Linked DNA regions of Diceros bicornis minor. The main gene of each other region encodes a partner of the protein of the gene in region 2 in a complex. Links are inferred from orthologs where the notes say so. Each region holds a gene or a part of one and is shown on either strand. Other genes may lie near its edges.

Region 1 (3,752 bases), on a different chromosome or scaffold from region 2:
GGGTAAGATCTGGAGGTTGCAGAAGGGGTAAGGTGGTTGTAACAATGGCTGTGGGTATTTGGAACCTGAGAAGAAGATTATTGTTAATATTAGTAATACCTACTTCTTATCACACACACTTTACATGCATGATCTCATTTAACCCTCACAACATCCCTCTGAGGTGATATTATCACCAATGCACAAAGAAGTTAATTGAAGCCAATTAAATTGCCCAAGGTTTTACAGCTAGCAAACGGTGGAACTGGGATTTGAGCTTAGGTCTGCCAAGCCTCAGAGTCTATATTCTTCTAACTATGCCACCTGGTCTCTCCAGAAGGTAAGTTGCTGACCAGCGATAGAGTGAAAGCTATGTGGCATCATCCTATGGCATTGAAAACCTGTGCCCAACATCATGAGAGATGCCAGCCCTCGCCATGCAAAAGAAGAATGCTGCCAGCTACATGCAACGTCACTGTGACTTGAGCCAAGACAGGCCCGCCTTGTGCTTCATCTCTGAGGGCTTTGCTTGCCTTTCAGCTTCTCTCTCTGATCACCCATCTGCTCTAGTCTTTTCAGTGATGTGTCTCGGTTATCCGGCTTCTCTGCCCCATGGCCCACCCAGTCCTTTCCCTAATCTGCAGACTGTCTTCTATTCCCTGGATCAGTGTTTCACCTGGCACTCCTGCTAACTGGCTTCTTCACCTTGATGTCAATATGCCATTCTATGATCTGGCTCAGCAACAGAACACCCCAGAAAAAGTCTGACTCAGAACAGTGAAAATGACTGAGAGGAGGGTAAAAGCCAACCACGCAAGGAGTCTTTTGGAGGATAGGGGGTGGGGCAGTAGTCAGTGGTTTATCAAGTGCCTACTCTGTATTTACCTGCTTAGTAAATTGTGATGACCATTTTGGAACTCCTGCTCTAGGCAGGCTCCTGTCATCCTTCAAAAATGCTTTTCCATTCATCTCCAGTTAGATTGGTCCAGTTCTACGCCTCATCACACGTGGTCTCATTGTCCCGTTCAGTTCAGTTCAGCATGCATGCTCCTTAGCACGCCAATGGGGATTTCACATTATGAATTCAGAGTAAATGTGATTCGCGATGATAGGTGGGCTCCACTTGGACCAGAGCCATCTACTTCCTCAGCAATTTCTTCTCTACTCTCTCCCTTTCTTCCCTGGAACTGGATTCTGCTTTTTAAGTCAGCTCATCAAAAACTTAGGCAGCTTCCGAAGTTTGTGCGGCTTGAGGTGTGGAATGCTGGTGCTTTGGCCTGGGCAGTGGAGGAAGGGTGAACAATGACAGCCAGGTGGTAAAAGGACATCTGTTGTGTGTTTTCTAGAAAGCATCCTCACCCCTGGAAGCAACTTGGACTCCTCCTTCTCAAGAGTTTGGAATTCTCTGTCCAGCTCCTCAAGATTCTACCTAAATGTCAGATTGCTATGAGCAAGCTGTGCCAAGCTGGTGGGGAGCCAGTGCGGGTTCACTGTGCTTCCAATTCGTCAGTATCTGACTTACATGACTCGTGCCCGTCCTCCTGCAACAGCTTCTCGCTAAGCTTTGCAAACTGCGCTCAATTAGCTATGGATGACAGCAGTCACAGATAATCCTTAGACGGTCTAAGGCAGTGGTTCTTACCTGTTGTTTTTGAACCATGAACACTTTTTAGAATCTGATGGAAGCTACGGAACCTTCTCCTAAAAAACACACATGTTCATGTTCATGTACATACACATCGTACAAACAAATTCAGGGTCTTCATAGGCTCCCTGAAGCCCATGCATGGATTCGGGTTAATATCTCTGGAAGAGATGATAAGACCCTCTGTTAACACAGTGCATCATTTCTTATTCCCTTTATTTCTCCAAGTAACCTACAATTAAGGGACAGATCTTTTAAACAAATACATTTAATTAAATAAATTTAATCTTCAACTCAAGGAAAATGTGGCCCACATCCACCCTTTTAGGCTTCTGTTTTGCTTCCATCAGACAGCATTATCCCTAAGTTTCCAGTGGGGGAGCAGGTAAGTACAGGATGGCATGCTGGTTAGATTTATAGGTCCTCTCAAGTCGACTTTCCTGACGGTGACATTCTTTTGGATCAGGAGAAATAAGTGGGTGAAAACACTGGAAAATTAAAGGTGCTTCTTCCAAAAGAACTTTTCTGCAGTGTTTGACAATGTTGACCACCTTTTGCTCTCTTCTTGAATCCTACTTTTTCCTGCTGCTTCATCTTCATCTGTCATCCTCCTCTTCGGTCTCCTTTGTTGGTTCCTCAGGCACTTTTGACTCAACAGTTTGCCAACTGAATTCATCAGTTTCCTCCCAAACCAGTCTTCTTCCTTGCCTTTCTTACTTTGGCAGAGTGTCACTACCCAGGTAGTCTCTCAAACCAGAAACATAAGCGTCATCCTCAGATGTTTCCTCACTAAGCACATCTATTTTAGTCAACATGTTGTGCCACTGAAATCTGTTGGCTTTGGTCCTGCCCATCACAGCCAACTGGTCCCCCGACATTAAGGCTTGAATGCCTTCAATCCATCCTCCATACTTGTTCCAAAATAAAATTGACCATTTCATTCCCAGGGTTAAGGGAGCATACTCAGATCGTCTGTTTTTTCACATCGTGTTTTCCCTCCAGACTGAGCATGTTCACCTTTGTACTGTCAGCACCGAATGCAGTGTCTGCATATAGCAGGTCTTCAACAAAAGTGGCTGCCTTGTTGGTTGGCTGAATGACTGAATGATTGAGCCGTATGATCATTTCTCATTGCCAACAGGCTGAAATCTGAACTTCTTGGCTTCACCTACAAGGCCCTTCACAAAATGGCCTCTTCCATCTTCATGGGATGCCCTGCCCCAACCCATCCCCTGGTCACAACATATACTTTTGATGCTTTGATTCCTTTACCTTTGGTGGTTCTGCTGGTTCTTCTGCTCGAAATGCTCTTTCTGTACAACACCCATCCCGTCTTCCATCTACATGGTGACTGCTGTCAAGACCCAGCTCAACTGTCACCTCCATTTCTGTAGCTTTCTCTGACAATCAGCTTTCCACCACCACCCCCCTTCTGATCCCCAGTAGTCAGAATTAATCGATTCCTCTCCTGGTACCCATAGCATTTCACTCATACCTTCCTTATGACACTCATCCCTTTGTATTATATTCATATATGTAACTGCCTGGCAACATTGTGAGGTACTCAAGAACAGGGACTAGGTCCTGTGGTCTTGTTCACTATAGTATCTCAAGCATCTAGCCCAGTGCCTGAACACTCACAAACACAGGATATGCGTTTATGTTGGTGTCATGTGTGTTCTTATATATTTTTTTAATATATTTTTATCTTAAAAAAATACCGGCATGGAACACCACCTCCTTTGCTATCATCCTGAGGCAAACCACCATTGTCTCTTGCCTGAATTACTGCAGATCTTCCTAACTAGTCTTCCTGCTTCTACCCTACACACTCCCTCCCGCTCCCCACCCCACCCAGTCTGTAGCCAAGGTGATCCCGCTAAAATGTAAATCAGATTAAAATCCTTTGGTGGCTTCTCACCTCACATTGAGTAAAATCCAAAGTTGCTACCCAACATGGCCTTGCCTGATTTGCTCCCACTTATCCTGTGCATAGTGGCTAAGGGTGCAGACTTCGGAGCCACACTACCTGGATCCAAATCCTGGCTCTACCATTTACCAGCTGTGTGACCTAGGGCAAGAGACTTAACCTCTCTGTGCCTCAGTTTCCTCACCTGCAAAATGGGGA
Region 2 (3,752 bases):
CACCAAAAGAGACTTGCAGCTGTCAGAATTCTCTTAATCAATGAGCTATCAAGACATGTAAGACATGGAGGAAGCTTAAATGCATACTACTAAGTGAAAGGAGCCAATCTGAAAAGTCAACATACTACATGATTCCAATGATATGATTCTGGAAAGGCAAAAAACTACGGAGATCATAAAAAAAAATCAGTCATTGCAGGGGGCAAAGGGGTGGGGGGAAGGATGAACAGGCAGACTACGGAGGATTTTTAGGGCAGTGAAACTATTCTTTACCATACTCTAATGGTGAATCAATGTTATTATATTATTTGTCAAATCCCATAGAATGCATAGCACGGAGAGTGAACCCTAACATAAACTACAAACTTTGGGTGATAACAACGTGTCAATGTAGGTTTATCGACTATAACAAATGTACCACTGTGGTGGGGGATGTTGATAGTGGGGAGGCTGTGGGAGTTGGGAGGGTGTGGGGGGGTGCTGGGGAAATACAAAATTCTGTGAACCTTTCACTCAATTTTGCTGTGAACCTAAAACTGCTCTAAAAAATAAAGACTTTTTTTTTTTTCTCTTAACCATTTGCTTGCAGATAATTAATTTTTCTGTTTCTGTAGGCAGGACAAGAATTACACCAGCTAAAATTTACTGAGCACTTTACATAGGTTTTCTCTTTAATCCTGGTGAAATGGATATTATTACCCTCGTCTTACAGTTAAGGACATTGAGGCCAAGAGAATTTACATAATTAAGGCACTCAGAATTTAAACATCTGTTTATCCGACCACAAGTCTGGCTGGTTTGCTAGTACTCTGCTGACTTATTTTTTTTCCCTATTATCTGGTTTTAAAACACCGTCCGTTATTTTTAATCACAAACCTTAGAGTTAATTATTAGAGCACAAGTGTGCAGAAGGGGAGTGGACCTCAGAGACTACAAAGCCTAGAATGCAACGCAGCGCCGGCCGCCTAGGAGCGCAGCACCTTGCCCCCTCAGCATGCTGGGAATGCTAGTTTTCTGGCCTGCCGATCTTCGCCAGCCCTCGAGCATCCGGCCCGGAGCTTGGTTCCCACTCCCTTTGCCGGGCGCCACAGCTCGACAGATACACCCGTCCTCGCACGGTCATCCCAGTCCTGGAGACTGACCTGGGGACGCGCCCCTGACGCCCTAGACCCTGTAAGAGTGTCCCTGCAGGGCAGGCCAGCGCTACCTACCTCAACCGCAATTCCCGGACGCGGCGCTCCACCCCCGGCTCCAAGGAGGACGCGCAGCTCGGTTACCACGGAAACGACGCTGCCTCCGTCACGGTGCGTGCTGGAGGTCAAAGGTCACCCCCAGTCAGTTCCGCTTCCGGTTCCAGGCTCCAGTTTGTTGTCAGAAAGCTTTGGAGAGTCGTTGAGTTTTGGGGGCTGGTTTCTGGGGTCCAGGGGTCGCCCGAGGTCTGCTGCTGCAGCCATGGCGGCCTCCACCGCGGCTGGGAAGCAGAGGATTCCCAAAGTGGCCAAGGTAGGCGATAGCGAGGGGCCTTGTGAGAGGAGGCCTGGGAGAGGGGCTTGCCTGAACCCCCGTGGTGCCCGGGGCGGGAGAGTGTTGTCCCGGGCGCAGGCCCACCCGGTGCGGGGCCGAGGGAGAGAAGGAGAGGAAGGGTCAGCCGGCGGTGGGCCGCAGGCTCTTGTCACCACGGAGCAACCCGCATGGCCTTCGTTCTGGGGAGTTGTGTTTGCGGACGGAGGATTGGGGTCATTTAGCAAACATGAACCGAGAAACGCAGTGCGCTCGGCGCTGGGGAGCTACGCTTTAATGCGGGCCACGAGCAGTACTCAAATTTAAGACACGAGTAAGTGTAAAATTGCAGCCTTACCAAGTGCTACTGAGGCAAAGTAGAGTAGGCCGTGGAATAATGAAAGTTGTGTGAGGGGGTCTCCAGAGTACATTTTGCTGAGGAAGTGACATTTAAGCCGAGACTTGAAGGCTGAGTAGGAGTTAACCCAGCTGAGAGTGGACGGAATGAGAGTAGATGACAAGAGTTATGTAGAGGCATAATTTAAGTTCATTAAACAATAAATTTGATATTATCTGATATTTGCATCCGTAGCTGATACTTACCGAGTGGCTAATAGGTGACAGGCTTTGTCCTGAGCCTTTACAGATACTCTTCCTCCAGTCTGTTTCTCCAGCCCAGAGGGCTCTCTTGAGCTTGTCCTTTACATATCCATTTGGATGACTCCCAGAGATGATGCATCTAAAGCACATAGCATAGTGTCTGGCCGTTAATGCACATTAGATATGAGCTGTCATCATTATCATCATCATTATTCTACACATGGCATTAAATAATTAATGTTTTTTATAATTCAGTTACATAAACTTGTATTGGGCACCACTGGTCCAATGGAAATATGGTGTGAGTCACATATGTAATTTTGTTTTCTCATAGCTACATTAAAAAGTCAAAACGGGCCAGCCCTGTGGCAGAGTGGTTAAGTGAGTGTACTCCACTTTGGTAGCCCGGGGTTTGCAGGTTCAGATCCCGAGCGCGGACCTACACACTGCTCATCAGGCCATGCTGTGGCAGGCATCCCACATACAAAAAATAGAGGAAGGTTGACCCTGATGTTAGCTCAGGAACAGCCTTCCTCCCACACACACACACACACACACACACCACACACACACACACACACACACACACACACACAAAAGTCAAAACAGGTGACATTAATTTTAATTACATATCTTATTTAACCCAGTGTATCCAAGATATTGTCATTTCAACATGTTATCAATATTAAAAATTTTAATTAGGTAGTTTATTCTTTTTTTCATACTAAGTCTTCAAAATCCACTATGAATTTTACACTTACAGCCCATCTCAATTTGGACTCACCACATGTGGCTCATGGCTACTATACTGGACAGCACAGCTCTAAGACCTCAAGAAGCTTACAGTCTAATGATGGGAACTTACTGAATATTGTCTTTGACTTGGAATGCCATGAAAAACCAAGTACAATTAACCATGTGGGGCATAAGTTGAAGAATTCTGTAAATAGAGGTTGTAATGCTAGATAAAAAATGGTATACATCTTGATAAAACAAAACCTCTGGTGACAGTTGTACCTAGGCAGTCTCAAAGTTTATTATTATACTAATCTAAAAGGGAAAACTTGCTATTTTTGCTACCTTTTCTCTTAAGACTTTTACCCATGGCTTTGTAATAAATACCATGCATAAGATAGAAAACATAATTTTTTTTCTATTTAGTTTCGTAGAGAAATGGGAACATGTCATACAAAAAGGGCATCTTGTAATAATACTTATAAAATTCACATCCTAAGAAATGTTTGTTTCCTAAACCTTGTGTGAAGATCATCTGCTAAAAATAGAAATGTCTTCTGTCTTAAAAGGTGAAAAACAAAGCCCCGGCTGAGGTACAGATAACTGCAGAACAACTCTTAAGAGAAGCTAAAGAAAGAGAACTTGAGCTTCTCCCACCTCCACCTCAACAGAAGATCACAGATGAAGAAGAGTTAAATGATTATAAACTAAGGAAAAGGAAGGTCCGTCAATGTGATATCTTTTAGTCTATTAATATTGTTAAGAATTTATAGGTCAGAGTTTGAAAAGTTCCTCACTGGTTAGAGAGACTATAAAATAAGAAGGGGTTAGTGTTTCTAGCCACATGCATAATATAACTTCTGGTTACCAGATAACTGCCTTTTGTTGAACTTTATAAAGTATGCCATGAGTTGGCT

The links. The genes of interacting proteins can lie anywhere in the genome.
Region 1: CRNKL1 (region 2) and RBMX2 share a complex: the UniProt entries of both Homo sapiens proteins name them as parts of the minor spliceosome. The link is inferred for Diceros bicornis minor from reciprocal best matches to the Homo sapiens genes CRNKL1 and RBMX2.

What each region holds. Positions count from the first base shown.
Region 1 is NC_080781.1:119,060,127-119,063,878, forward strand, and holds the start of RBMX2 (RNA-binding motif protein, X-linked 2), read left to right. Parts: upstream 1-1,084; coding exon 1,085-1,091; intron 1,092-1,974; coding exon 1,975-2,009; intron 2,010-3,752. UniProt on the Homo sapiens protein: Involved in pre-mRNA splicing as component of the activated spliceosome. As a component of the minor spliceosome, involved in the splicing of U12-type introns in pre-mRNAs.
Region 2 is NC_080758.1:46,552,198-46,555,949, reverse strand, and holds the start of CRNKL1 (crooked neck-like protein 1), read left to right. Parts: upstream 1-1,352; 5' UTR 1,353-1,452; coding exon 1,453-1,503; intron 1,504-3,404; coding exon 3,405-3,557; intron 3,558-3,752. UniProt on the Homo sapiens protein: Involved in pre-mRNA splicing process. As a component of the minor spliceosome, involved in the splicing of U12-type introns in pre-mRNAs.